Linked DNA regions of Oryctolagus cuniculus. The protein of the gene in region 5 purifies or fractionates together with the protein of the main gene of each other region. This does not show direct contact. Links are inferred from orthologs where the notes say so. Each region holds a gene or a part of one and is shown on either strand. Other genes may lie near its edges.

Region 1 (3,948 bases), on a different chromosome or scaffold from region 5:
ATCTCCAATTTATTCATTTATCTTAATTAAGATAATGATGGTCTGTTTTGTGAGTTAGACATGTAAGATTTTGCAAGCAATTTGTACAGTGAAATTAATTCATAGTTCTTGAAACTTTCTGATGATCGAGTTTTAACTTCAGTGGTAGAGGGAAGAGTCAGACTGTGTTTGAAGTCACTCCAGCTTTTTGTCTTCTTTGGGACCATTGGGTTGTAAGAATATATTCAATACCTTGGATTTTAATCTTTCCGAATGAAATCTTCCTGGGCTTGTTCATTTTGAGTTTAAGTTCTCAAAATTAAGCTCTGTCCTTAGTAGTACTAAAAACAGATAAAAAGAAATTTATTTTGCAAATGAATAAGAAAATAACATAAGGTTTATAGTTTTTTGTTTTTAAGATTTACTTATTTATTTGAAAGTCAGAGTTAAACAGAGAGAGGAGAGGCAGAGAGTGAGAGAGAGAAAGAGGTATTCCATCTGATGGTTCACTCCCAATTGGCCACAACAGCTGGAACTGTGCTGATCCAAAGCCAGGAGCCAGATACTTCTTCCCGGTATCCCACGCCGGTGCAGGAGCCTAAGGACTTGGGCATCTTCTACTGCTTTCCCAGGCCATAGCAGAGAGCTGGTTCAGAAGTGGAGCAGCCAGGGTGTTAACTCGCTGCGCCATAACGCTGGCCCCAAGATTTATAGTTAACTTGGAAAATTATAGTTAAGATTAACACGGATATTTTGGGGGCTGCTGAGTCATGAAAACTAGAGCTCTAGATTAAACTAGATTTTTAGTAAATGTATCTGAGATTTATTTTACTAGGAAATGAGACTTAAAGTGAGCATTTGGAAATTTTGGGAACAGCTATGTATGTGTTGGTTTGTGCTAGGGTTTATATGCATTTAAAACATGTAATGTAAAAAAAAAATCACTCTTTCAAGCAGTAGCAGCTTAGTGCTAATTTAATCTTACCTGCTTGGGTAATTTTACCTTGAAACAAGGTATATGTGTTCAAGAGTTGTCCATGATGACTGCCTGTAAATTACCTATGCAGGGGTGGGAAATTTTTTTCTGTCAAGAGCCATTGGATATTTATAATATCATTTGCAGTCCATACGAAATTATCAGCTTAAAAGTTAGTCTGCCATAGATTTACTGAATTTGGAGTCCTAGTGGTTGCCTTGGCAGGACCAGATCAAATTTATTGGGCCTTGTATGGCCCAGGTGCAGGACATTCTCCACCCCAGTAGGAATCAAATCATTTCTTTGTATCTGTTATGAAGATTGTTTTATAAGCAGGAGAGTAAATCTCAGTCATTGTTTATTGTCTTTTGTTTATATTAATGTTTCTATGAATTTAAATGGTTATAAATCTGGAATATAATGTTCCACCAACATTTTAGATATTAATTTATTTAACAATTTAACTTTTGGTGATGAAGAATACTCCAAAAATATTACATTTCTTTTACTGGGTTAGTATGAATTAGGTAAGGATGGCAGAGGAAATATATACAGTTCAGTCAGTGAACCTGAGGATTTAATTTATTCTGAAAATTGGTTTTAGATTTGTCAGTGAAGAGATAAAGTAGGAAGCACAACTGCTATTTTAAGATGATTTTAGTCTTCTAGAGTCTATGTGTATTCTGAAATCACTAGGAGAACAATATGATGCTTTTAAAAACCAGGGAGTTAGCAGTGCAATTTAGAATAATTTAAGAATTCGGAGAACATGGTGATTCTGGGCTATGCCTAGTCAAGTACACAGTAGGTCTTCAGCTTGAATTGAAGAGAGCTTTTAGGATTTCTGCTAGGAGGGGAGGCACAAGAGGGCTGTGAAAGTTCTTTCCATTACCTTTAATATGGTAACATCTTCTTCATGGGGTCCTGTTTCCACTAAATAAAATTATACATATAAACTAAGTAAGATGCCTGGTCTACAGAATGATTAAATAAATGGTGGCTTAAAAATTACTTGTAATTGAAATGTATAACTGAAGTAATTTTATATGATAAACTAAGATGACTATTAAAAATTTATTTGTAGTAAAGAATATGGTGGTCTTTGTAGTTTGGGGGAGTTTTCTCAGTTTAACTTTGTACACTTCTAATTTTTTTTTTCTTTGAATCCCTTTCTTCCTTTAGGAGACAAGGATGGCAGCAAGGTAACTACAGTGGTGGCAACTCCTGGGCAGGGTCCAGACAGGCCACAAGAAGTCAGTTATACAGACACTAAAGTGATTGGAAATGGGTCATTTGGTGTAGTATATCAAGCAAAACTTTGTGATTCAGGAGAATTGGTTGCCATCAAGAAAGTATTACAGGACAAGAGATTTAAGGTAAGAACATTTGTGGCTATCTTTTTTTTTAATTTTTTTTTATTTTATTTATTTGAAAGAGTTACAGAGAGAGGTAAAGACACAGAGAGAGGTCTTCCATTTGCTGGTTCACTCCTCAAATGGCTTCAATGGCTGGAGCTGTGCTGATCCGAAGCCAGGAGCCAGGAGCTTCTTCCAGGTCTCCCACATGGGTGCAGGGGCCCAAGGACTTGGGCTGTCTTCTACTGCTTTCCCAGGCCATAGCAGAGAGCAGCCGGGACTTGAACTGGCGCCCATATGAGATGCCGGCGCTTCAGGCCAGAGCTTTAACCCGCTGCGCCACAGTGCTGGTCCCATTTGTGGCTATCTTAATCAAGGGTTCATCAGAAAGTTCATGAAAAAATGGAATGAACAGCTAAGTTTATTTTGATGTAAAAATACTTGAAATCCAGATGGCCTAAGTGCTTGGGCTTCTGCATCCAAATGAGAGTCCTAGAAGAAGCTCCTGACTCGTGGCTTTGGTCTGCCCCAGCCCTGGCCATTACAGTGATTTGGTAAGTGATCCAGCAGATAGAAGAATACACACACACTCTCTCTCTCTCTGTCTCTCTCTGTCTCTCTCTCACCTCTCTGTTTTCCTGCCCCCCCCCAATGTAATTCTGCCTTTCAAATAAATAAATCTTAAAATACTTGAAATCCATTATACCTTTTCTATAATATGCATTTTCATGAAATTTTTGAAGAACATTCATATGCATGAATTTATTTTAAGATTTATTATTTGAAAGAGAGAGAGGGAGAAACAGAGAGATCTTCTATCCACTGGTTCACTCTCCAAAAGGGCTGCAATTGTCAAGGCTGAAACCAGGAGCCAAAGAGCTTCTTCTGGGTCTCCCATGTGGTGCAGGCTTCCAAGCACCTGGGCCTTCTTCTGTTGCTTTCCCAGGCACATTAGAGAAGCCAGATCAGAAGTGGAGTAACCTGGACTCAAACTGTTGGCCATATGTGATGCTGGCATTGCAGGCAAATGCTTTACCTGCTATGCCACAACGCTGTCCGCTCAAAATTACTTACACCTAAATAAATTTTTTTTTTTTTTTTTTTTTTTTTTTTTTTGACAGGCAGAGTGGACAGTGAGAGAGAGAGACAGAGAGAAAGGTCTTCCTTTTGCCGTTGGTTCACCCTCCAATGGCCGCCGCTGCAGCCGGCGCACCGCGCTGATCCTGGCAGGAGCCAGGAGCCAGGTGCTTTTCCTGGTCTCCCATGGGGTGCAGGGCCCAAGCACCTGGGCCATCCTCCACTGCACTCCCTGGCCATAGCAGAGAGCTGGCCTGGAAGAGGGGCGACCGGGACAGAATCCGGCGCCCCAACCGGGACTAGAACCCGGTGTGCCGGCGCCGCAAGGTGGAGGATTAGCCTATTGAGCCACGGCGCCGGCCTACACCTAAATAAATTTATCTTTTAATTCTTTTCCCCCAGACTTTGAATTAACTGCATATGTAAATTATTATTTTATTATAGTGACTTTTAATTACTTCTAGTGATATATTTTGTAGAGATAAAATTGACTGAGGTTTGCAATAATACTTTGTAACCAATACTGTGAATGATCTATGTATTTAAAATCCCTTTAAAGAT
Region 2 (3,213 bases), on a different chromosome or scaffold from region 5:
CGGCCCACCGGAGTGCTCGGGCACCGGGGTCTCTAGTCTCCCGGACCCCCTCTTCTGGGTGTGCTGTTTCAGGGCCTGCTCGGAGGAGCAAGCGCTCTCACACTCTTCCTCACCGTGCAGGGCTCCCTCTCCTACCAAGCGCAAAGACCGCTCTGACGAGAAGTCCAAGGACCGCTCCAAAGATAAAGGGGCCACCAAGGAGTCCAGTGAGAAGGACCGCGGCCGGGACAAGGCGCGGAAGCGGCGCAGCGCTTCCAGCGGCAGCAGCAGCACCAGGTGGGGCGGGCGGGCCGGCGGCAGCCACAGCCGCCTCTCCACACGCACCTGCACGCTGGTGCCAGAGACCCCGGTGCCAGGCCGCTCAGGGTCTGCTCTGGGTGTACGGAGGGACGGCCTTTCTCCTTTCTGTGATGGCAGGGAGAGTGGTGTTGCGTGCGGCGTGTCCTGCGCTGCCGTGTGCTCACACTGCCCGGTCGGGAGCTTATCCTGGTGGTTGGAAACCGGCCCAAGTCAGTGAGCAGCGGCCTCCCGGGCAGAGCTGGCGGCTCTGGCTGCGCCGAGGGCCTCAGCGGGAGAGGCTTCTGTGCAGGCGGAAAGTGGCCGGGTCCTTTTGCCTGCCTCCAGGCGCTTGGGCAGGGGGCGCCTCCCTCAGGCGGGAGAGCGCAAGCGTGCAGACGCCCGGGGTCTGGTGGAGGAGCAGCTCCCGCCTGTTGCGGCGGTGACCCTTGGTGTCCTGCCTCAGGTCTCGCTCCAGCTCCAGCTCCAGCTCGGGCTCCAGCACCAGCACGGGCTCCAGCAGCGGCTCCAGCTCCTCCTCGGCGTCCAGCCGCTCCGGCAGCTCCAGCTCCTCCCGCAGCTCCAGCTCCAGCAGCTCCTCTGGCTCCCCGAGCCCCTCCCGGCGCAGGCACGACAACAGACGGCGCTCGCGCTCCAAGTGAGTAGGCCAGCCCGCGTGCCAGCCGGGCGGTAAACGCACCGAGTGTTTCTGTCCCGATAGGCTGTAAGCCGGGGTGACATGCATACACTGGTAGCAGAGTTTCCTTAGAAAGTGTTGGGTACGCAGGTAACTTCCACTAAAGGGAGTCCAGTGCGTTTTGAATTGACAGGAATTGTTTGTTGTGGTGTTTCATTGTCTTCCTCACTCAGATCCAAACCCCCTAAAAGAGATGAAAAGGAGAGGAAAAGACGGAGCCCGTCCCCTAAACCCACCAAAGTGCACATTGGGAGGCTCACCAGGAACGTGACCAAGGTGAGGGTCCCGGAGCCAGGCGGGACCGTGGGGGGTGCGGGGGTGCGGGGCTCGGCAGAGCTCTGGCTGACTCCGGAGTGTTACACAGGCCTCGGAGGCTGATCGCAGGATGAAGTAATGGGTGGTTGAATGAGCTTTCTTTCCTCCAGGACCACATCATGGAGATATTTTCCACCTATGGGAAGATTAAAATGATTGACATGCCTGTGGACAGGATGCACCCCCACCTGTCCAAAGGCTACGCCTATGTGGAGTTTGAGAACCCGGACGAGGCCGAGAAGGCACTGAAGCACATGGACGGAGGTCGGTGGCCCTGCTGGCGCGCTCCGGCCTCTGAGCCCTCCTGGGAGCTCTGGGGTTCCAGTGCGGGTGTGCTTACCAGAAACGTGTTTTTGTGGCACACTTGGTTTGGAAAAACATCCCACAATATGAGTGTATCAGCATTTTAGGGAACTTTCCATCTGTTAAAAGCTTAAATATCAGACAGGCTATACAGATATGCTTGGCTTTTCTCATTCTTTTAAGATTTATTTATTTGAGAGACAGGCACAGAGAAAGAGCGAGGTCTCCCATGTGCTGTTTGACTCCTCAGCCACCGCAGCCAGGGCCGGGCCAGGACCCAGGGACTCCATCCTGGTCGCCCGTGGGGAAGCAGGGGCCCAAGTACTTGGCCACCATCTGCTGCTTTCCCGGGCATGTTGGCAGAGAACTGGGTTGGAAGTGGAGCAGCCGAGACTGAACTGGCAACTGTGCGTGGGATGCTGGAGGTTGTAGGCTGTGGTTTCACAAACCTCTCCGCCATAGTCCAGCCCCTGTTGGGCTTTTTATTTCCTTTTCATTGCTTCTGAGTCATTTTTTTGTTTGCCAGTATTTTTAGGATTCCTTTGTTGAGTGGTAGGTTTGCTGAAATCACAAAACTTACTCTTAAATACTTGTGGCCTTCAGCTGCTTGTGATGTGTAGAGCTGTTTGTGTTGAGCAGAGTGTGTTGCTTGATTTTTTTTTTAAAGATTTATTTATTTGAAAGAATTACACAGAGGAGGAGAGGTGCGGAGAGAGGTCTTCCATCCTCTGGTTCACTCCCCAGTTGGCCACAACGGCCGGAGGTGGGCCCATGTGAAGCCAGGAGCTTTTTCCTGGTCTTCCCATGCAGGTGCAGGGGCCCAAGGATTTGGGCCATCTTCTGCTTTCTCAGGCCATAGAGAGCTGGATCAGAAGTGGAGCGGCTGAGTCTTGAACCCTTTTGGAAGGTGCCGGCACTGCAAGGGGTGGCTTTACCCGCTACACCACAGCACCGGCCCCGAGTGGAGTGTGTGTGTTTTTTTGTTTGGTTTGGTTTTTGTTTGTTTGTTTGACAGGCGGAGTAGACAGTGAGAGAGAGAGACAGAGAGAAAGGTCTTCCTTTGCCGTTGGTTCACCCTCCAATGGCTGCTGCAGCTGGCGCACCGCGCTGATCCGAAGCCAGGAGCCAGGTGCTTCTCCTGGTCTCCCATGGGGTGCAGGGCCCAAGCACTTGGGCCATCCTCCACTGCACTCCCGGGCCACAGCAGAGAGCTGGCCTGGAAGAGGGGCAACCGGGACAGAACCGGCGCCCCTACTGGGACTAGAACCCGGTGTGCCAGTGCCGCAGGTGGAGGATTAGCCAAGTGAGCCGCGGCGCCGGCCTGGAGTGGTCTTTACAGCACATGAGTAGTTGTGGATGACCATTTTTGTGTTGCCTTTCAGTCGGCACGGTAAGGAATGCCGGGCTTGCCTCTGCCCAGCTTCCTGCTTGCTGTAGTTGGGCTGGGGCTGAGTTCGGCAGCCCACAGGGAGGAGAGGGAACGCCTGAGTAGCTTCCCAGTTTCTGTGAAAAATCGCCTGTGGGTATTAAGTTCTCCCAGTACTTAGCCAGCTTCTCTTTCAGTTGACTTGAATCCCTCTGGAGTGTTCTGGGAACTCCGTGTGAACTGTGTCGCTCCCACC
Region 3 (4,490 bases), on a different chromosome or scaffold from region 5:
GGATTTATCCAAGACCAGACAAAGAGTTTAGATCACAACTTAGATCCTTAAGAGTTACAGACTAGGGCTCTTTTTATCACAAATAGTTCATGCAATTCACAGTCCTTCAAAATTATACCAGCTAATAATACAATAACCTCAAAGTTTTAACTTAGTTCCATTTTAGGCTTGCAATGAAGTTTTAGAAGAGTTTTTAAGTTCTTTTCAAAAAACATTAATCAACCATTTTGATAAAGCAAAACAAAAACCATAAATACCCTTTCAGTGGCAACAGTGGATTCCTGTTTAAATTTTTGAAGGGTGCCCATCAACAAGCCAAATATTCGTCGGTTCCTAAGAATAGAAAAAGAAAATCCCATTTTAACAGGCTGTACATTTAAATCTGCCATTTTCTGATACTGCAGACAGTTGAATAATCCCTTCACATTTTTTAAATTGCAGGATTTGACAGATTAGTTTCCCCAAAAGAATTCTAAAGATACCTTTGCTTTCCCTTTTCATCCATATTTTGATCCTGGATAAGGTCTCTACGTGTACGCTCTTTGGAGGTAGCTACAACTGAAGACTGCAACGCTGGCTGTAGGCGAAAAGAAAATCTTATTAATCTAACTAGTATATGAGTGCCATGCTTTTAAACACAGAGTATAAATATTCCATTCACTCTCTATTAAGTTCTTTTAATCTCAGTACCTTTTTAACATCATCATCCTCTGGGTCGCTTTCTTGGCGTGATTCTCTTCTTGTCCGACGCTCCCCGCCCAGCCTGTCATGGCAAAAAGTAATTTAAATAACCACTGCAGAATTTGATGTAAATGCATAGCAAGGCAAATGCCTACTGTTGCTAGGTCTCTTTCCCAGAAAACTCATTTAGCAGTCTCCATCCCATTTACTTTTTCCTCTGGCAAAGAAAGGATAAAACGTGTCAACTAATGCCCAAACTCTGAACTCCTATGACATATAAATTATTTCTTAGGCTATTTAAGTTCTTTAAGTACAGGACATAAAAATACGGTACAAATGGACTTCTTATGACCTTAGTCTGATAAAAACTGGATCACCTTGAGCAAAGAACTGAATTTTGAGGAACACTGGTTATCTCAGTTCAGTCAAATACCATGGCAAGCTTTAGGGAAAGTGGATACTAGTCAATTCTAATGCAACAAAACAATATTCATGAAATACTTATTTTTGTGTACTTAAGAATCTTTCAAACCTACCTACTGACTGCCCCTTCAAGGTCTCTCTGTTTGGCTGGGGGTCCTCCTCCACTATCTGAGAATCCACGCCTGCAATTAAAATTGTTCAACAGAAAGCACTTGAAACACGAGATACAAGAGAACGCAATTTGATTTTTAAAAATTCTTTCAGTTAAAGTTATGTTAAGTGGGATTCACTCCAAAATACTTCACGAAAAAATACAAGAAAGTTGCACAAAATTCTCCAACCTCTTACATATAAATGAAGCTTCAGAATAGCTAGTTACATAGAAAACTAGCTGATTACAACATTAAATGCAAATACTGTGTTGTTCTTTTTTAAGATGTATTTTAATTATTTTGAAAGACAGTTACACAGAGATGGAGAGACAGAGAATACCACGTTACTCTAACACTGGCTCCAACACAGGTTTTGTTCAAACAGTGTATTAATTTAGTTAGCCTTTAACACTAGTAAAAGCGTAAGGGAATCTTACCTCAGCAATAAATTACCACGTCCTCTACCTCCACCAGGACCAGAAAGGGCCAGCAACCTGGCTTGGATGGGCCTGGAAGGGATTTACTCGTCAGTACAAAAATTACAGGAAGACCAATCTAACGGCACCAAATCCCTTCCTACCTGTGTTAGATCATAAAAAAAAAATAATAATAATAACTTCCCCAAAATTCTAAGACGGTTTAAAAGCCACACGTTTGAAACGGGGCAGGGAGTCCTATTTCATTTAACTTCCTCGTTTTTCTCGAGACCATTATCTCAGAAATTATGTTTACCTCGATGCCACCACTCGTTACCAAGCCAGGACCGGGTCCCCATGGCGCCATCCCGGAGTTAGACGCACGTGGGCAAGGGCTGGGAGCGAGGCGGTGGGCACGGCCCGGAGGGTCTGGGGCCAACCCCGGGCAGGGAGGGCGGCCGCCGCAGCGGGAAGGGGCTTTGTACTGCAGTTCCGGGGCCCGCGGGGCTGAGGGCGGGAATCTCCAGTCCAGCCCATCTCACAAGCCGGGACATCATGCCGGCGCAACGAGGCGCGCTACGGCGGGGCTGGGGCCTCCCCAAATCAGGGAGGACGGGAATCTACCGCCGCCCGGGAACAGGCCTCGATGTTCCTGCCTTCTCAGGGCTGGCCGCTCTCCCCGCCCCCAATTCACCCTGACTTGCTGGCTGCCTCTCCGAGCCCGCAGTTCCCGTCCGCTTCCTACCTCACGTCATTGGGATCTCGCCCGGTGAGCTTGCGGATATTCTCATCTACGTTCTTTAGGCTCTCTTTGGCCTTTTCTAGCTGCTCCTGCAAAGTTCTCACTGCGACCGCCATTTTCTCCCTGCAGCAGGCTTCAAGACTGCTCTACAGGCCGCGCCGCGCTGCGCCGCGCCGCGAGACCTGAAAGGACTGACAGCCGGATTCAGCCAATGACGAGCGGCGTTGATTTTTGGTCTCAACCACTCAGAGACTGGAAAGGGGAGACACTGCCAATCTTTGTGGCTCTGGACCAATGAAAAGTCAGCCAGGCGGTCGCCTCCCTCCCCAGTTTCCTGCGGGTGGCTGGGTCCCGCTTCTAGCGCAGAGTCAGGGCGGGCTTGAGAGAGACGTGTGTCCTCGGGGACGTACTCGCAGACCTGCAGTTCTGGCGGAGAGCGCTGGGCTGTTCAGCCCTTTTAACCTGTGGTGTGACGTACGTTATATCGTTTTAACGACAAAATCCCACCAGGGTGGGACGGAGGCCAGTCGGCTTCTCCTCCGTCTCGCACCCGGATCAATAATCTAATTAAGAAAGGGCGTGGCCAAATGGTTGGTGCGCATGCCCGGAGGTGGAGTGGGCGTCTGCTTCCCTCCATTAGGTTAAAGTGAGTAGGGGGAAGCAGAGTGAAAGATGAAGAATAAGAAACGTCATACTCCTAAGAACTGACAGCTGTATCGAGCTGGTCTGGTTCTGGACGCCGTGTGAAACTTTACGTGCCTTGTTCCTCACCACCAAGCGCTTTGAAACAGTACCAGTTAATACTGATAAGGAATACTGCCCCTAGGTCATGCCAGAAGTCGCCATCCGATCAGACCCGGTGCCAGGCTTTATTAAAAGAAAAAACCGACGACGAGAAGAAAAAAGTCGACGCAGGCACGACTGACTGAGCACCTTCGCCTAGTCTACAGCCTGCTGGTTTAAGACCCAGTCTGTGGTGTCCCCATTATTGTTGGTGTGTGTATGTGAGAGAGAGAACTGGCCTCTGGTTCTACTCTGCCTGCACCGCCAACGTATGAACTGATTTTGTTTGAAAAAAATGTAGTATAAAGCGTAGGTCAGAAAACATTTCCCCACGGAAACCACTTGAATAATCTCAGCCAGCCATCCTCCTTGCACTAAACATTAGCAGGGCGACTATATTTAACTAGAGCTACCATTTTATTTCAGGATCTATCCTTTAAAACGATCACTGTGTATCAGCAGTAAGCTAGACTGGGGGTGTGGGGGGGGGGCGAATTTCCTAAAACAAGTTAGCTGTGGCTCCTGCTTTTGTGGAATGGGTAGCTCCTAAAGGAGCAAAGATCTTTGGATCCACCATTGAGTGTCTACTGTGAGCCAGACACTGTTCTAGGCACTTTGGATAAAGTGGTGAGCAGCAGAGGTCTCTAAAGGAGCTTGCAGGGAGGAAAGGTGTGGAAACAGATTATAAACAAAAGTAAATTATGTGGAGTGTTAGAAGTGTTACAGAGGGGCCGGCGCTGTGGCGCAGTAAATTAATCCTCCGCCTGCAGCGCTGGCATCCCATATGGGCGCTGCTCCGCTTCCGATCCAGTCCTCAGCTGTGGCCTGGGATAGCAGTAGAAGATGGCCCAAGTCCTTGGGCCCCTGCAAACGCGTGGGAGACCCAGAAGAATCTCCTGGTTTCGGATTGGCGCAGCTCCAGCGGTTGCAGCCATCTGAGGAGTGAAAGAATAGAAGGAAGACCTTTCTCTCTCTCTCTCTCTTTCTCTCTCTTTCTCTCTCGGTAAATCTACCTTTCAAATAAATAAATTAAAAAATTTTTAACAGAAAAAGGGAAAAAGGTGAGATGAGAATTATTTATTTTTAAAGTTTATTTATTTGAAAAGCAGGGAGATAGAGATCTTCCATCTTTTGAAGTAGCTTCCTTTTTAATTTTAAAAAAATTGATTTATTTTATTTGGAAGGTACAGCAACGGAGGGAAAGAGAGAGAGATCTTCTGTCTGCTGGTTCACTCCCCAAGTAGCTGCAACATACACATCTGGGCCAAGCCAAAGCCAGGAACACAGTTCATC
Region 4 (3,948 bases), on a different chromosome or scaffold from region 5:
GAACCCGGTGTGCCGGCGCCGCAGACGGAGATTAGCCAAGTGAGCCGTGGTGCTGGCCACATGGTTTATCCTCTAATACACAAATACAAGAATACCTTTAAAAGTTCATGGAAAAATGAAAATAAAAGAGAAATGTCTCTTGGTGCAGCTGCTTCTCTAACACGGCTTTTTCATGAGCTTCTGGAAGACCTCTTGCGCGCAAGGAGCTCGAAACTTCCTGCGCCAAAAGACACTTCCGCTTCACTGTGTTCCCATCAGCCTTCCGAAGCAGCCTCCTGCGTCAGTGTGGGGCTCTGCAGGAGACACGTTCTAAGTCCCAACCATAGTACCATCATCATCATCAACCACCTAGTCAGCATTAACATTGGTTTTCCACTTAGCTCATAAAGTCTCTCCATTTGCGTCATGGTGCACGCGAGGGCTGCACACGGCGAGGGCATGACGTGCTGTGGCGTACGCCGAGCGTACAGGCCCCTCCTGTTTACGGTTTATTCCGCAACAACACGGCTGTTCAAGCTGCTGAGTTCTCTGCTGTCTGCTTTTGCTCCCCGCCTGCCCGGGGTGTTACGTAACACTGTTCTACTCTCCACTGGGAACGTGTTGTGGCTTGACTTAGAGGAGTGATCGGGTCCAGGTTTGCAGATCTAGTCCCTGGCTGGGGCATTTCCCACCGCATCGCATCAGGGCACAGGCGCTGTCTCTTCTCTGTGATGTTCGTGCCTTTCGGTCATTGCCCGCGTCCATTCCTTCATGTGGCCGTGCGGCTGCGCAGGCTGTCATTCTTTCTTCATCAGTTGAGCTGGAATACTGCTTGAGCGAGAATCTTCTCCACAGTGGTTTTGTTTGCAGTTCCTGTTGGAGCCGGTGCCGTGGCTCACTAGGCTAATCCTCCGCCTGTGGTGCTGGCACCCTGGGTTCTAGTCCCAGTTGGGGCGCCGGATTCTGTCCCGGTTGCTCCTCTTCCAGTCCAGCTCTCTCCTGTGGCCCGGGTGGGCAGTGGAGGATGGCCCAAGTGCTTGGGCCCTGCACCCCATGGGAGACCAGGAGGAAGCACCTGGCTCCTGGCTTCAGATCAGCACAACATTGGCCGTAGCAGCCATTTGGAGGGTGAACCAATGGAAGGAAGACCTTTCTCTCTGTCTCTGTCTCTCACTGTCTAACTCTGCCTGTCAAAAATAAAATTAAATAAAATAAAAACCAGTTCCTGTTGGAAAGACAGAAAAATGCCTGGGTTAATGCCTTCATTTATGAGCCAGAATCCCTGGAGAGTTGATTTCCTAACATCCTCCAGAGTGGCTAAAGAATTGGTTTTTATTCTCTTGTGGGACACAGGGACAGCATGAGTAAGCATTCATGGCATAAGCGTGTCTGGTGTGTTTTCAGCCACGACACCTATGTCCTTATTGAGGCTCAGGTCATCCCGCACTGGCCAACTGTTGCCTCTGCACATGATTCTGAGGGCCTTGGACAGGAGGTCCTGGTGGTCTCTGACCACATCTCTGCCTCTAGGAGGTGGAGAAACCCCTCCTGACTCAGCTTGGCCATTTCTCTAAGAAGCACTAGGGCAACACGGTGGATTTGAGTCCCGGTCTTCTTGTCCTTGGAGCCGGGCTACACTGGACTCTGACTGGACCGATGTCCTCTCTGCCCCACTGGCCCCCTTCAGAGGAACCCGCCTCTGTGTTGAACCCCAAGTCCTGCCTGCAGAGTTTGAGGGGCCTGCCAATCCTCCTACTGAGGACACTAGCCACAGCTGTGGGGTCACCCCACCCCATGCCACAGTGTCCCTTGGTCCATGCCATGGGAAGAATTGCTGGCATCATCTACAGAGTGTCGGGGAAGCATCTGGTGTGTGCTGGGTTCAAGGGTGGATTGCCGCGTGCCTGGCCCCCAGCTTTCGCACAGGCGGGGCACAGGCTGCGGGTCTGGGGAATAAACAGTTCGTGGCATCCGTGGAGCATCAGAAAGTTCCCACTGTGGTCGCTCACTTGATATTCACCGTCACCTGTGAGGGAGACAAGGTGAGTCTGTTATCCCAACTTCCAGATGTGAGGACGGCGCTCACACAGTAGATGGGACGGAGAGCTGTTCTGCCACGCTCAGGTCTTAGAGAAGCCCGCAGCTGCTGCGCGGTGGTGGCCGGCCACCCTGGGTCCCTGTCCCTGCTTCACGCTGCTGCTGCCCTGGACATGCTGTGCTTTTTTTTTTTTTTTTTGACAGACAGAGTGGACAGTGAGAAAGAGAGAGAGAGAGAGAGAGACAGAGAAAGGTCTTCCTTTGCCGTTGGTTCACCCTCCAATGGCCACCGTGGCCGGCACACCGCGCTGATCTGAAGGCAGGAACCAGGTGCTTCTCCTGGTCTCCCATGGGGTGCAGGGCCCAAGCACTTGGGCCATCCTCCACTGCACTCCCTGGCCACAGCAGGGAGCTGGCCTGGAAGAGGGGCGACCGGGACTAGAACCCGGTGTGCTGGTGCCGCTAGGCGGAGGATTAGCCTGTTGAGCCGTGGTGCCAGCCCCATGCTGTGCTTTTGACAGAGGGACTAGGAAGGGCATCCAGTAGGACTGAGCTTGTCACTGACATGTGACAGGTGCCTGGGGCGCAGGTGATGCAGCCGGGTGCCCGCGCTGGTATCTTGGTAGCCTTACCCGGCAGTACAGACACCACACCGGATGAGTCTTTAATATCATGGCATCCAACCTTTGTTAGAATCAGATGGGGTCCTCCAGAAGAGAGGGCTGCCCTTTATTTACGCCCCTTTGCTACTGCATTTGGCTTCCAGTATCCCAGCAGCAGGTCGGCCACAGCCCGAAGCAGAGAAACAGAAGAGATTCGGTCCTAGCTGGTGAGCGGCTAAGGGTCGAGGTCCTGCAGGTTGGAGGACGTCCAAGGGAGCTTTTGACTTGCAAGCTCTTTCTGCTCTGGGGTGTGACAGGCGTTCTGCCAGGGCACAGGACTTCTCAGGGAGACCCTCACTGCCTGCTCCCCCCTTCTCTCCCAGCGTGGATTTCGTGAAGTGGTCCTCGCAGGGGATGCTGCGGATGAGCCCGGACGCCATGAACGCCCTCTTTAAGCCGACCATCGACAGCATCATTGAGCACCTCCGTAAGTGCCTGCGGCGCCTTGGCCACACAGCGGGGCAGAGCTGAGACTGGGGCCTGACTTCTCCAGCATCAGGAGTCAGGCTGGTAGGGGGCCTGGGGCTGGATGCCACAGGAGTGAGCAGGGCTTGGGCTGGAAGCCACAGGAGTGAGCAGGGCTTGGTCATGTAGCGAGGAGGTCCCACCCCTCTCCTCAGGTCCTGCAGAGCCGCCGAGAGCCTGCCCTCACCTGGGTTCCAGTTTGGCCCCAAAAGACAGAGAAATAGGAGCTGGGAAGCCTCCAGGGAGTGCACTGTCTGCCTCATCAGGACACGGGGGGTCCTCACCCTGCTGGGAGAGAAGCAGCTGTGGTGGGAACCAAAGGAAGGTTTTCCCGGGGCAAAGAGGACCTGGCATGCAGTCCTACTGCCCCTGCCAGTGGCCCTGACCCAGGGACACACAGCAGACTCGCTGGATTGAGGTCCAGCAGGGGCCTGCTGGATGGGAGCTCTTGCTGTCCATCTCTCAATTAAATAAAACAGAATGGCTCCTGGAGAATTCTCTTCAGTGAGCTCGGATGCCGCCAGCCAGCTCTGCAGGCGGCCCACGTGGTTTCTGTCCACTCGCCACGGGCTCGGGCGGCCCACGGCTCGTGTGCCTGCTGGCTTTCACCAACGCGATGTTCTGTCTCCCTCTTGCTTTTCAGGGGATCTGTTTCAGAAGCCCGAGGTGTCCACGGTCAAGTTCCTCTTCCTGGTGGGTGGCTTTGCCGAGGCGCCGCTGCTGCAGCAGGCGGTGCAGGCTGCCTTCGGCGACAAGTGCCGGATCATCATCCCCCAGGACGTGGGCCTCACCATCCTCAAGGGTG
Region 5 (3,948 bases):
AAACACTGTTCAGCTACCAAGAAGCCCTTTCTGTCACTCATATATGTTCTGTGTTTGTGGAAATGAGAAATGGTTGAGTCGTATAAATCTCCAAGTTTCAGGAAGGGATCTGTTGCCTTTGGAAATAATTATTGGAGACAGTTTCGGTCCATTTTGCAAATTAACAAATAATAATTTACTTCTTTAAAAGTTTGAATGAGTATCATGAGTATAGATTTTAATACAATAAAAGAACTCACTTCCTAACTTGCCTTTTTGGAAACTGTCTACTTCCTCTTCTCCAACCCAACCCCCTTTATTCAAACAGACCAAAGAAGAAAGAGAAATTTCTGAAAAAGTTATATTTTTGCAACAAGGAAGCTCTTCATTCCTTGAGTCTCAGGTAAAAATAAACATCAAGGACTTTGTAGAAGGAATTGCTGTTCAGACTTCAGTATTATTAAAATGTCTTTAGTTTTATTTTCCTGTTTAAATTTCTCTCATTTAAAAGTAAGGTGGGTCTATAAGTTTTGCTTCAATTCTAGGGAAAAGACAAAGGAATTTCCTTAGTATTTTCATTATTTGTAACATGTCACTTCCTTGTGCTTCTGTTAGGTGATTATATGTTGTCATTGAAGCACCATGATTGTACTTTTGTCTTAGTGAAACTTCACTGCCTGTTTTTACCCACAGTTGGTTTTTCTTTACTGTACTGTAGCTGACCTTGATTGATTTTGAAAGCTCTGAACTTTTATTGGTTTTCCCATAGCCGAGTGTGATCAAGAAAATGCAGGAAGGAGGCTCTGCTGACTCTATGGTTACCTCTCGTCAAGTCATTTTCCAGAAAACTGTCCCAGCGACCCTAGAGGTTATTTTTTTCAATTCATTTCATTTAACCCAGCACCAGCATGTAATCAAGATGTAGTCATTTTCCTTAAGGCACATGCTATTTCTAGATTCAAGTTTTCAGACTACCGTAAATATGAATGTAGAAAACATCCTAGATTAAAATGTAAACCAAAGCACTCACCCGCTCCTGGTTCCCTTCTGTAAGCTATGAGGCTAGTCAACTGCCCAGTGACATCTGAATACAGACTTTCATTTCTTCTGCCGTACTGGGATTCACATTGAGGAAAGTGGGGAAGAAGCTACTGAGACAGTGAACTTCAGTTGTAAATAAATTTGCACACTGCACACGTGGCTGTGATCTGTTTATACAAGTCTCCAACAGTGTCCCTCAATGGGAGCTATTTCATGGAAGTGCCTAGAACTCAGGCACACACGATATTTATCAGGTAATTGCTCTAGTGGAGTCAGATACCAACAAAAGGAAGTACAGCTCACAAACACAGAAAATTATAAGTACAAAAATGTGAATAACGTTGGCAAGTTCTTGTGAGAATGAGGGTTTTCAAAAAGTTCCTGGAAGATGCGTAAAGTGAAAAAAACTGCATGGATTTCAAAGCTTTTTGCACCAAAATACACTTTTTCTAAATGCATTTTCCTACAGACTTTTTGAAGTATCCTTGTACTTGAAGTATACAGTATATTTAACACAGAGAATTGTTCTTTTGTGTTCACATACAGAAACTAACTTGTAATAATGACTTCAGTAATGTTTTGTAATCTTGAAATATAAAATGACCATAGTTAATCACAAGATCAAATATATTTCTTGCAATATTGACCACCAAAGCATGTTCATGTCGAGAAATCTGAAAGTGTAATTCTGCCTAAAGAGTATATTCCAGGTTGAAGGTTATAGTTAGTAAATTTCCAATGAGAAGAGAATGCAGCTGTTAATTATTACACTGCCCGTCCTGTGCAGCCCCACCTCAGGCCTGCCTGTAGCTCTTGCCCTGATTTTCTTAAAAGGTTCTTATTTTAGAAATGAGATAACCATCAGAATTTCTAATTTAGCTTTTATATTTCAAATATAGGGCACAGAGGATTGGGTTATTGTAGACAAAATACCCACTGAGGTAGTTGATGGTGATTTGAAAAAGATTGTCACTTACAAGGTGGTGACGGTGAGCAGTAGAACTGGTGACCTCCCAGCCGACATGTTAAAATCTGGCTCCCTTGACATGCACGGCCTCCATGACTTGGCCCGAGAAGTGCACTTGAAAGAAGAAAGCAAGCAGAAGATATACACGCTAGGAAAGTCCTATGACACCGTCTCCGGAAGAGTTGTGACCATGACTGGGAAAGCCAAGGAGGGGGAAAAAGCAGAGCCGCCCTCCACACTGGAAACACCTCTGAAAACGGAGAGGGGCCCCGGCCTGGCGGAATATGAGGGCCTGGAAGCCCTTGCCGGTGAGAAACCCAAGCGAGGACCCGAGGTCCAGACGACAAAGCGGAAGTTGTCAGAATCTCTGGCACCCATCAAGGAGGCCGAGTCTCGTCGGCAGAGCCCTGAGGATGAAGACACCAGGAAGGCTGCAGAGCTGAGGCTGGAAGCAGCTGGCCACCCTGGGCTGGACAGCCTGCGCCTTGGCAAAACGGAGCAGGTGCAAGAGAGTGAGGTCTTGAAGGTGGGCCTCTTCGGTCCCCGACGGAAGAGCCTGTCCGAGTGGAGATACTCCCAGGAGCCAGCCTTGACCGTGGCTACTGCTCATTACCATACCGAGTCGTCCACGTCCCGCGTGGTGGTAACCAGTGGCTCTCATTCCGCCGCAGCTTTAGATTCCAGCATGACCTGTTCTGAGGCAGTGCCCCTTCCGCCCCACACCTTCCCGTTTCTCTTGCTGCTTGGCTTTGTGTTGAGAGCAGCCAACCCAGCTTTTTGAGTTTTTTTCATGGTTCAGTCGATACCGCAGTCCCAAGAGGGCATTAAAATGTTTATTTCCAGCTACCCGTTCCCAAGATGTGATCGTGCTGCTGTGCCTGGCAATGAAGGAAAAACATGACCCGCTTTACTGGGTGCCGCCCTTCTCCTAATAACTCTCTCTCTCTCTGCTTTACCAACCAAGAGCTCAGGGTCACCCTGGTTGGCTATTTTATTTCCCATTCTTTTCCGTTTCCGAACTCCGTCTCTTAGTTTCCTTCCTTCCTCCTCCCCTTCTCCTGCGCCTCCAGCTGTGTGTAACAAGCCGTGAATGTGTCTCTGCTGAGGACCTGTGTCTCTGGTGCTTGACTCTGCCTTTCTCTGTCCACTCAGACCAAGCAGGCTTCCGGCGAAAAGCTCATGGACGGCTCTGAGATCTTCAGTTTGTTAGAGTCTGCCCGAAAGCCAACAGAGTTCATAGGAGGGGTTGCCTCCACTGCTCAGAGCTGGGTTCAGGTGCCCACTGGCTTCCCTCCTGCGTGTTTGTGCCTGTGCCTTGCTTTATGTGTGTGTGTTCGTGTTTTGCATTCAAGTGGCTTTGCCTTCGAGACCTCACAGGTGCCTTCAGGGATTGTCCTTTGTGCCTGCTTGGTGTTTCTGTCCATCCACAGTTAGTTCCGCTCCAAGGATGTACTTGGGGAGCCAGCATAGAGACCGGTGGCGAAGACACCATATCCCGTGGGGGAGTACCTGGCTTTGATTCGCAGTGCCAGCTCCAGCGGCTCACTCCAGCTTCTTGCGAATGGAGACCCTGGGAGGCAGCAGTTAATGGCTCAAGTAATTGAGTTCCTGCCACCCACTTGGGAGATCCAGGTTGTGTTCCCAGCTCCCACGCTTAGCCCCAGCCACTGTGGGCATTTGGGAATACAGGTGGCCTCTCTCTCTCTCTCTCTCTCTCTCTCTCTCTCTGCCTTTCAAATAAATGAATTATTTGGTTTAAAATAGCATACTTTAGATGGTCAAAAGACAGCCATGTTGAGAAATTCTAATAACATTTCATGTTTACAAGCATTTTATCTCATCTAGTGGGTCTAAGCAAGCAGCAAAACCAATGTGAATGCACCACAAAGCTTTGGTTTTGTGTTTCTGTTGTTTTATTTTTAAACCAGTGTTCGTACTGCATTGTTTCTTTCGCTGAGCAG
Region 6 (4,410 bases), on a different chromosome or scaffold from region 5:
CACCAATGCAGGCATGACAAGTTGCTCCCATATAGTCTCCAAGTGCCAGAATTACCTTTTGGATCTGTTGAGCCAGTTCTCTGGTGGGGGCCAATACTAGTGCTTGGGTCTCCTTGAACTCAATCTCCAACTGTTGCAGGATGGAAATAGCAAATGTGGCTGTCTTGCCAGTACCTGACTGAGCTTGAGCAATCACATCATACCCTTTAATGCAAGGAATAATAGCTCTTTGCTGAATAGCTGTAGGCTTCTCAAAACCGTAAGCATAGATGCCCCGAAGAAGAGACTCCTTTAAATTCATATCATCAAAGTTATCAACAATCTCATTCCAGTTGCTCTCGATGACACCATCGGGGTCCATTCCCTCTGGGCCGCCATGTTCTCTGTTATAGTCCGCAGAGCCACCAGACATGTCCGAACAGCCACTCAGCGCCCGACTGAAAAGTATCCCCATCCTTTCTGCTACTCTCATCTGTTCTACGGCAACTGCTTCCTAATACTTTGTTCATTTTGCCCCTCCTCCAGCCTCACTACCAACAAACCAATGCAGCTTAAAAACCCAAGACTCCTCTAAATGTGGAGGAGATAGAGTAAATTACCACCACGTGTCCCGTCCTGCAGCTTCAACAATCCAGCATACTGCCTCGTTATTACCAGCGATTTTACAGGCCACAAGAGTGGAGCCTAGAGAGACTGACAAGAGTTCCACTAGGTGTCTCATGATCCAACCCTTGCTCTTGAATTGAATGCCTCAGGTCTCTCAGGTGTAAAATTCAAGGCAGTAGTAACTCCGTATAAATAAGTAATATGGACATAGTGCCTAAAACAGTACCTGGCATGTGTACTCTGCTAACTTTAGCTACATTCATGACTATTCGTACGTCTTCACTGCTGCTAGACGCGTTACTAAGTGACTAAGGAGGAAATACAGCAAGAGTTCCATGTCTGGGGGGTTAGTTCTTTTCCCTTTGGCGCCCCATCTTTACTGCCTAACCTGCTCTTCACCCTGCGTCAATTCTCTCTTCGTCCCCTCGCCCGCCTGACACGTGGGGACACGTGGCTCGCGCGCCAGGTGCATAACTGGACCTGGCTGTGTCCACCTGACCTACGAACAGCCCGGGTGAGGCGGGGGCAGGAAACAGTCGTGAACTGAGCCGGGAGACTTCTGACCTCTAGAGGACGGTGGTCTCCACTTCCTGTGCGTTCTCAGGCCAAGAACTCCGTGTCTCAGGCCCGTTTCCTCTTCTGTAGAAAAAGGACTAATATTGTTCGTCCTTCTGCTCTGATAGGGGTACGGTGACGACCCTGAAGTTCCCAGAGAACCCTCGGCTATTCCAAGGCTACAGCCTCAGAAAGAGAGAAGCAAAGTGAGGGGTGGGGTCGCCTGAGAAACGCGGCCTGGTCTTCATGGACCTCCGAATGTTTTTCCTAGATTGTCTCGTTTCTATGGTCGATGGCCCTCAAATTTCCGCGCAGGCTAAGTTATTCTTCCGGGGTGGCTGCCACTGCTTCCGGGGCGGGTCGGAGCGAGGTGGGGTCGCTGTGCCGCAGCTGCCTGCCGGTGTGCGTTCCGCGTTCGGTGCAGCCATGAGCTTCCTCCGGAGTTTCCTGCCTCCCGGGCCCACGGAAGGGCTGCGGCACCAGCAGCCGGATACCGAGGCAGTCCTGAACGGGAAGGGCCTCGGCACCGGCACCCTCTACATCGCTGAGAGGTAGGGTCCCGGTTCCCCAGCACTGGCCTCCTGCGCGCCGCCTCCCGCCTTGCTGGCGCCGGCGGTGTAGACGAGCCGGGCGAAATGAGGGCTCGGGCTGCCGGGATCGGCGGCGTTTGCGGCGCGTCGCCTCGAGGGTGCCCGGGCTGGGAGGAAGGCTGGAGTATTCTAGTGGCCTCCCCCTGTGGAGTCTCCCCGCCTGTCTTCTCCAGCCGGAATTTCTCCTCGTGTATTGTGCCCCTAACCGCCTGTGTACCGGCGATCTGGCGTGTGCCTTGCTCGTAACTCATGGTCCCTTTTTAAGGTTTTGAGTTCCAGGCTCTGAGGTAGTTTTTGGTGTGCCCGTGTTTCCGGCTGAACTGGTGCGGGAGATGTGGGTTCCGAACAGATGGTGGAGGATGTTGAGAGTTTGGTTAAGGAATGTAGGTTTTCTTCTGTAGATGTGGAGGGGAGGCAGGAACGTGCTCAACCCCACGCAGGCGGAGGTCACAGCCACAGGGACTTGATTCCCCTGTGGGGGCCCTGGAATCGATCCCCTGGCACGGAAACCTGTCTTAGAGGCTGCAGTTGTGGGACTGAGGTCCCTGTGCCCTTGACACGTGGTCCCCTTCATCTTCAAATCAACAGTGACACATGGAATCTTCCTGATCATTAAACCTCCCCGGCTCCCCCTTTTGCTACATCACATAGCAGCCAGAGAACTCTGCTTTTAAGGACTGATGTGATTACAGTGGACCCATCCGGATCACCCAGGCCAATCTGTTTGTGTTTTATTGTCAGGTTCTTAGTAACCTTACATACATTTATAGAGTCGCTTCTGCCACATAACATTCACAGGCATGGTACCAGGGGATGAAAGTCATGAGGGCCAGTTTTTTGCCTACTACAGAGTCTTGGGCACAGAAAACTGTAGAAAATTACTGGTGTAGAGGAGAACTTGGGCAAAGCTTGGGCTTTTGGCCAATCAGTGAGATAGTAAACATGGATGGGGAGGAAAGCAAATTTGGGCTGAGGAGCAGATAATGAGTTTGGTTTGAAAGTGGGTGTGGTTCAACATAAGCTCATGTAATTTAGGGAAACACAATTAGAGATTTGGAAGTCGAGGGAATTGATTGGATAACCTGGAAGTGAAGAGGGCCAAGCGTAGAACCGTGGGGAGGCACTTACACTAAGAGATGAGTCATGGAGATGAGGCTTGAGAAAAGAGGAGGAAAGAGCAGTTAAAAGGAAATAAAACCTGAAAAGCTGCCGTTGAGTTCCACAAGGAAATCTGGTGATCTTGGGAAGAGCATGGAACACAGAGATATTCCCTGCCTCTCTCCAGTCCTTTTTTCTTCGTGGCATCTCTGTATTTGGCTCTTCTTTATACAATTTCATTCTATGGGAAGATATTTACATTATGGAAAGTTTCAAACGTAAAGGAAAATTGCAAGTGTTGTTAATACCTCTATGGTCTCTTAATGATTCAATAATTATTTGGCATATTAAATTCTTGAGCTACTTGAGACTTGCAAATATGTTTTTACTTTATTTGTAAATACTTTAAAATCTTCAAAGAACAAGGCCGGCGCCGTGGCTCAATAGGCTAATCCTCCACCTTGAGGCGCCGGCACACCGGGTTCTAGTCCCGGTCGGGGCGCCGGATTCTGTCCCGGTTGCCCCTCTTCCAGGCCAGCTCTCTGCTATGGCCAGGGAGTGCAGTGGAGGATGGCCCAGGTGCTTGGGCCCTGCACCCCATGGGAGACCAGGAAAAGCACCTGGCTCCTGGCTCCTGCCATCGGATCAGCGCGGTGCGCCGGCTGCAGCGGCGGCCATTGGAGGGTGAACCAATGGCAAAGGAAGACCTTTCTCTCTGTCTCTCTCTCTCACTGTCCACTCTGCCTGTCAAAAAAAAAAAAAAAAAAAATCTTCAAAGAACAAAGATATTCTTCTGTATAAGCGCAATATGATTTGCATACTCAAGAAGTATAACTTTTTAACTTCTTACCTGTTTTTTTTTTTTTAAAGATCTATTTTATTTATTTGAAAGACAGTTACAGAGAGAGGTAGAGACAAAGAGAGAGAAAGGTCTTCCATCTGCTGGTTCACTCCCCAAATGACTGCAGTGGCCAGAGCTGAGCCGATTTGAAGCCAAGAGCCAGGAGCCTCTTCTGGGTGGGGGCAGGGGCCCAAGGACTTAGGCCATCTTCCATTTGCTTTCCCAGACCATAGCAGAGAGCTGGATCGGAAGGGGAGCTGCTGGGACTTGAACCCGTGCCCACATGAGATGCCAGTGCTAGAGGCCAGGGCTTTAACTTACTGCACCACAGCGCTGGCCCCCGTTCCTGTTTTTTTAAAATATTATTTATTTCACGTTTTCACTAACAAATCTTTTTATTTAAAAAAATGTATTTTGGTAAAATATACGTGCAGAAAGAATGTTATAGATGTATGATTTAAAGCATATATACATAAATATACCTGTATATCCTGGTGGGCTCTGTGGCACAGCAGGTTAAACTGCTGCTTGGGACGCCCACACCCTGTATCAGAATGCCAGTTCCTACCTTGGCTCATTTGCTTCTGATTCAGTTTCCTGCTAGTGGCCCTGGGAAAGCAGTGGATGATGGGCCAAGTGCTTTGGTTCCTGCTCTGCATGTGGGAGACCCAGATGGAGTTCCTGGCTCCTGGCTTCAGTGTGGCCCAGCCCTGGCTCTTG
Region 7 (3,948 bases), on a different chromosome or scaffold from region 5:
GGAGGAGGTGCAGAGCCTTCGGGAGGAGGCGGAGAAGCAGCGCGTGGCTTCAGAGAACCTGCGGCAGGAGCTGGCCTCGCAGGCGGAGCGAGCCGAGGAGCTGGGCCAGGAACTGAAGGCCTGGCAGGAGAAGTTTTTCCAGAAGGAGCAGGCCTTGTCCGCCCTGCAGCTGGAGCACACCAGCACCCAGGCCCTGGTGAGCGAGCTGCTGCCCGCGAAGCACCTCTGCCAGCAGCTGCAGGCCGAGCAGGCAGCCGCCGAGAAACGGCACCGGGAAGAGCTGGAGCAGAGCAAGCAGGCAGCCGGTGGGCTGCGGGCAGAGCTGATGCGGCTGCAGCGGGAGCTCGGGGAGCTGGGGCCCCTGCGGCAGAAGGTGGCGGAGCAGGAGCGCGCAGCCCAGCAGCTGCGGGCGGAGAAGGCCAGCTATGCTGAGCAGCTGAGCATGCTGAAGAAGGCCCACGGCCTGCTGGCAGAGGAGAACCGGGGGCTGGGCGAGCGGGTCAGCATTGGCCGGCAGTTCCTGGAAGTGGAGCTGGACCAGGCCCGGGAGAAGTACGTCCAAGACTTGGCTTCTGTGCGGGCCGATGCTGAGAGCCGCCTGGCTGAGATGCAGCGGGAAGCCCAGAGCGCTGCTCGGGAGCTGGAGGTGATGACTGCGAAGTATGAGGGTGCCAAAGCCAAGGTCCTGGAGGAGAGGCAGCGGTTCCAGGAAGAGAGACAGAAACTCACTGCCCAGGTACCGTGCCCGGCTCCCCCATCCTCAGAGCTGTGGACCTGAGGGGGCAGGGACACTGTTCCTCTGTGTTCTGGGGCTGCTGGCTCCCACACCGCAGGGTCTTGCTTGTCTCCTTCACTGGAGGCTGAAAAGGAGAGGCGGTTGGTAGAGCTCAAGAGTGAAGCCTCTGTAGTCCTAAAGAAAATACCCGTGGTCTCCCTTACCTGGGGGCTCCGTGCCTGGATAGTTGGGAGCACCACCAACCCATTGCAGAGGAACAGCTGCCCTGGAGGTCCCAGGAGCCACTGGGACCTAGAAGAAGCCTAACTGGCATTTTCTAAAACAGCCTGAAGTGTAGTTCCCTGGGGGAAAGTACCAGAGCCCCAGTGAGCTCAGCCTGGTGCCTCTTTGGCCCCCATCTCACTCTGTCTCCATTGCTCCTCCCCCGTGCACAGGTGGAGCAGCTAGAGGTATTTCAGAGAGAGCAGACTAAGCAGGTAATGCCTGGGGTTCTCGCTAAATGCTGGCTGCTTAAGCGGTGACCAGTCTCGGTGCATGACCCCGGCTGCAGCTTGCCTCCGCCAGCTCCCGTTGTGAACTGTTTGTGAAGGGGGCAGGGTCTGCCCAGGAGTGCAGTGTGCTGGCCCCCCCGGGGCCTCATCCCACCCATCCCAGGTCGGCCTCTCCACCCTACTGCACTTTTCTCTCAGCTTCCTGTCAAGGAAAGAGGTAGCATAGGTGTCATCTTTCCCATACCTGACGACCTCAGTCCCTGGGATTCCAGAGCCTCCCAAGTCCTGTTTCTGGTTAGGGACATCCGACTAAGGGATATCAGGTACCTAGGGCCCTGTTTTTCATGGCACTCTTCTTTCCCACGGAGTGCGGGTTTATTGAAGCCATGAAGGAGAGAGATGTACAGGGTTAGGGAGGGTGCGGGTCCAGGAGGCCGCCCAGCGCTCTGCAGCTTGCACCCTAAGCATAGTGGAGAGACGTGGAGAGGAGCAGGTGGGCTCTGCCCCGAGGCGGGACACAGGGTTGGACTGCTCTTCCTCACAGCTCTCTCTCTGCTCCAGGGCGTTGAGGCTGTTGCACTGGTGTTTGTGAGAACACCTTTCTCTACCATCCTCCTCCCCAGTCTCCTCGAGCCTGCTAAGGACTGGGACCCCCTTCTCTCACCTCCAAGGAGCCCCCGAGGATGAGAAGTCAGATTGGACAGCAGACAGTTAGCGGTGGAGCCCCTGCCTCTCCCCTTTGCTGTCTGGTCATGTGTGAACTCCCGGAATGCCTGGACGAGCCAGGGCTGCTTGTGGCTGTTGCCTTCCCTCTTGCCCCGCCTCGCTCTGCTCTTCTCTCTGTGGGACTGTGGGGCGGGCTTGGAGGATGTGTGCTGTCCCTGCTCTCGTCTCCAGCGTCTCTCCCCTAATGCTGATGTTACACAGCAGCCACACTGCTAGCAGCAGCCCTAACAGCCTGTGGGTGTGGGACGAGGTCTGAGCATCTGTGGGCCTCTGCTTTGGCAGTGTCTGGGTGGCAGGCGGGGTGGGCAGTCACTGAGTGCATCTGCTAGTTAGAGGCCAGGCCCCCGTTCCTACCCCAGCTTGGGAAGGGTGGCTGGGGAGCAGTGGCAGGAACTGGGTGGTGGTGAGGAGCCAGTGCTGCCAGCTCTGGTGGCTGCAGGGTAGGGGCGGGTGAGGGGCTGGGCAGGTGGGCCTGGCAACATCGGTGTGGTGTGCTGCCTCACTCAGGCCCTGCCAGCCAGCTGGGCATCAGGCTGTGCCCTAACTGGAGGCCAGAAAGAAGGCTTGAGTTTCTTCTTCTAAGAACACTGGGTGTGGTGGTCCGGGGACTTCCCGTAGCTTGGCTAGACATACAGGGGAAGGCCTCCTGAGTCTGCCCTTCTTTTTCCTCCCCAGCTGGAAGAATTGAGTAAGAAGCTGGCTGACTATGACCAGACCAACAAGATGCAGCAGCAGAAGCTGAAGGTGGGACAGCTGGGGGCGGGCAGCACGGGCCTGACCTCTGGCTGCCTCACAGTGAGGCTGGGGGAGGGGAGGTGCCTCGGAAGCCCTTGGGCTGTGGTGGGAGTGGGGGCAGAGGCGGCCTGCGTAGGCTCAGGAGCCTCTGCCTGTGTCCCATCCCACTAGACCTCACTGCCCACTGCAGCAGCCGCTGCTTTTGGATGGCTCTTTAGATTTGAATTCAGAGTAAACAGAAAATCAGCTCTTCACTCACACCAGCTGCATTTCCCCTGCTCAGTAGTGTCGCATGGCGAGGGTTACCAACTGGCAGCACAGGTGGCAAACATTTTAGCAGGGCAGAAGGTTCTGTTGGATAGTGCTGGCCTCAGTAGCCTGAGCTCAGGGTGTGGCAGTGTCAGCCCTGAGCAGTACCAGGCAATCTGTATGTTTTTAAAAGATTTATTTGAAAAAGGTACAGAGAGATCCATCTATTGGTTTACCTCCCAGATGGCTGAAAAGACCAGGGCTGAGCCAAGCCAAAGCCAGGAGCCAGGAGCTTCTTCCAGGTCTCCCACATGGGTGACAGGGGCCCAAGCGCTTGAGCCATCTTCTGCTGCTTTGCCCAGGCCATTTTTTTTTTTTTTTAAAGATTTATTTATTTCAAAGGCAGAATTAGAGAGAGAGGTCTTCCATCCACTGGTTCACTCCCCTATTGGCCACAAAGGCCAGGGCTGAGCCAGGCTGAAGCCAGGAACCAGGAGCCTCAACCAGGTCTCCCATGTGGATGCAGGGCCCCAGGCACTTGGGCCATCTTCTGCTTTCCCCAGGCTGTTAGCAGGGAGCTGGATGAGAAGTGAAACAGCCAGGGCACAACTCGCACCCCTATGGGATGCCAGCGTCACAGGTGGCAGCCTCACCCGCTGCGTTACAACGCCAGCCCTGTAACGGTATTCTTAATGACTTCAACCTTGTCACCTTCTGTGACTAAATATTTGCTGTGGTTTGAGGCTTCAGGGCCTTTATTTGAGGACAAAGAAACTGGGTACCAGGGGCTTTGGGACTCACTGCCATCCCCTCCATCCCTGTCCTGACTGCATTCTTTCTGGGGCCTGCCCTGTGCTGGAAGAGAGGCAAGGGCAGGATGCTCCCCTCCGGGACCCACAACAGGTTAAGCACTTGCCAGCGTTGAAGCTGGACAGAGGATCATGCCCGGCTCTGGAGTTTCGGTCTGGATCCAGGAGGCTGCTGGGACACAGCCAGCCACCATAGGCACTG

Evidence for each region.
Region 1: the proteins of EPB41L3 (region 5) and GSK3B purify together in Homo sapiens (affinity purification with mass spectrometry; 4 studies listed by BioGRID and IntAct, with this or other methods). This does not show direct contact. The link is inferred for Oryctolagus cuniculus from reciprocal best matches to the Homo sapiens genes EPB41L3 and GSK3B.
Region 2: the proteins of EPB41L3 (region 5) and RNPS1 purify together in Homo sapiens (co-immunoprecipitation; 3 studies listed by BioGRID and IntAct, with this or other methods). This does not show direct contact. The link is inferred for Oryctolagus cuniculus from reciprocal best matches to the Homo sapiens genes EPB41L3 and RNPS1.
Region 3: the proteins of EPB41L3 (region 5) and PNN purify together in Homo sapiens (co-immunoprecipitation; 3 studies listed by BioGRID and IntAct, with this or other methods). This does not show direct contact. The link is inferred for Oryctolagus cuniculus from reciprocal best matches to the Homo sapiens genes EPB41L3 and PNN.
Region 4: the proteins of EPB41L3 (region 5) and HSPA12A purify together in Homo sapiens (affinity purification with mass spectrometry; 4 studies listed by BioGRID and IntAct, with this or other methods). This does not show direct contact. The link is inferred for Oryctolagus cuniculus from reciprocal best matches to the Homo sapiens genes EPB41L3 and HSPA12A.
Region 6: the proteins of EPB41L3 (region 5) and CLNS1A purify together in Homo sapiens (affinity purification with mass spectrometry; 3 studies listed by BioGRID and IntAct, with this or other methods). This does not show direct contact. The link is inferred for Oryctolagus cuniculus from reciprocal best matches to the Homo sapiens genes EPB41L3 and CLNS1A.
Region 7: the proteins of EPB41L3 (region 5) and NUMA1 purify together in Homo sapiens (affinity purification with mass spectrometry; 3 studies listed by BioGRID and IntAct, with this or other methods). This does not show direct contact. The link is inferred for Oryctolagus cuniculus from reciprocal best matches to the Homo sapiens genes EPB41L3 and NUMA1.

Annotation. Positions count from the first base shown.
Region 1 is NC_091435.1:76,473,936-76,477,883, reverse strand, and holds part of GSK3B (glycogen synthase kinase-3 beta), read left to right. Parts: intron 1-2,137; coding exon 2,138-2,331; intron 2,332-3,948. UniProt on the Homo sapiens protein: Constitutively active protein kinase that acts as a negative regulator in the hormonal control of glucose homeostasis, Wnt signaling and regulation of transcription factors and microtubules, by phosphorylating and inactivating glycogen synthase (GYS1 or GYS2), EIF2B, CTNNB1/beta-catenin, APC, AXIN1, DPYSL2/CRMP2, JUN, NFATC1/NFATC, MAPT/TAU and MACF1.
Region 2 is NC_091450.1:33,013,018-33,016,230, forward strand, and holds part of RNPS1 (RNA-binding protein with serine-rich domain 1), read left to right. Parts: intron 1-120; coding exon 121-276; intron 277-742; coding exon 743-934; intron 935-1,146; coding exon 1,147-1,249; intron 1,250-1,398; coding exon 1,399-1,552; intron 1,553-3,213. UniProt on the Homo sapiens protein: Part of pre- and post-splicing multiprotein mRNP complexes. Auxiliary component of the splicing-dependent multiprotein exon junction complex (EJC) deposited at splice junction on mRNAs.
Region 3 is NC_091443.1:36,472,201-36,476,690, forward strand, and holds the start of PNN (pinin), read right to left. Parts: upstream 2,975-4,490; 5' UTR 2,531-2,974; coding exon 2,418-2,530; intron 1,766-2,417; coding exon 1,694-1,765; intron 1,287-1,693; coding exon 1,218-1,286; intron 764-1,217; coding exon 691-763; intron 578-690; coding exon 483-577; intron 334-482; coding exon 258-333; intron 1-257. UniProt on the Homo sapiens protein: Transcriptional activator binding to the E-box 1 core sequence of the E-cadherin promoter gene; the core-binding sequence is 5'CAGGTG-3'. Capable of reversing CTBP1-mediated transcription repression.
Region 4 is NC_091446.1:13,651,814-13,655,761, forward strand, and holds part of HSPA12A (heat shock 70 kDa protein 12A), read left to right. Parts: intron 1-3,001; coding exon 3,002-3,105; intron 3,106-3,786; coding exon 3,787-3,948. UniProt on the Homo sapiens protein: Adapter protein for SORL1, but not SORT1. Delays SORL1 internalization and affects SORL1 subcellular localization.
Region 5 is NC_091441.1:62,321,985-62,325,932, reverse strand, and holds part of EPB41L3 (band 4.1-like protein 3), read left to right. Parts: intron 1-307; coding exon 308-382; intron 383-748; coding exon 749-847; intron 848-1,919; coding exon 1,920-2,630; intron 2,631-3,139; coding exon 3,140-3,262; intron 3,263-3,948. UniProt on the Homo sapiens protein: Tumor suppressor that inhibits cell proliferation and promotes apoptosis. Modulates the activity of protein arginine N-methyltransferases, including PRMT3 and PRMT5.
Region 6 is NC_091432.1:68,751,260-68,755,669, reverse strand, and holds the start of CLNS1A (methylosome subunit pICln), read left to right. Parts: upstream 1-1,538; 5' UTR 1,539-1,587; coding exon 1,588-1,712; intron 1,713-4,410. UniProt on the Homo sapiens protein: Involved in both the assembly of spliceosomal snRNPs and the methylation of Sm proteins.
Region 7 is NC_091432.1:63,479,746-63,483,693, reverse strand, and holds part of NUMA1 (nuclear mitotic apparatus protein 1), read left to right. Parts: coding exon 1-736; intron 737-1,170; coding exon 1,171-1,212; intron 1,213-2,628; coding exon 2,629-2,697; intron 2,698-3,948. UniProt on the Homo sapiens protein: Microtubule (MT)-binding protein that plays a role in the formation and maintenance of the spindle poles and the alignement and the segregation of chromosomes during mitotic cell division.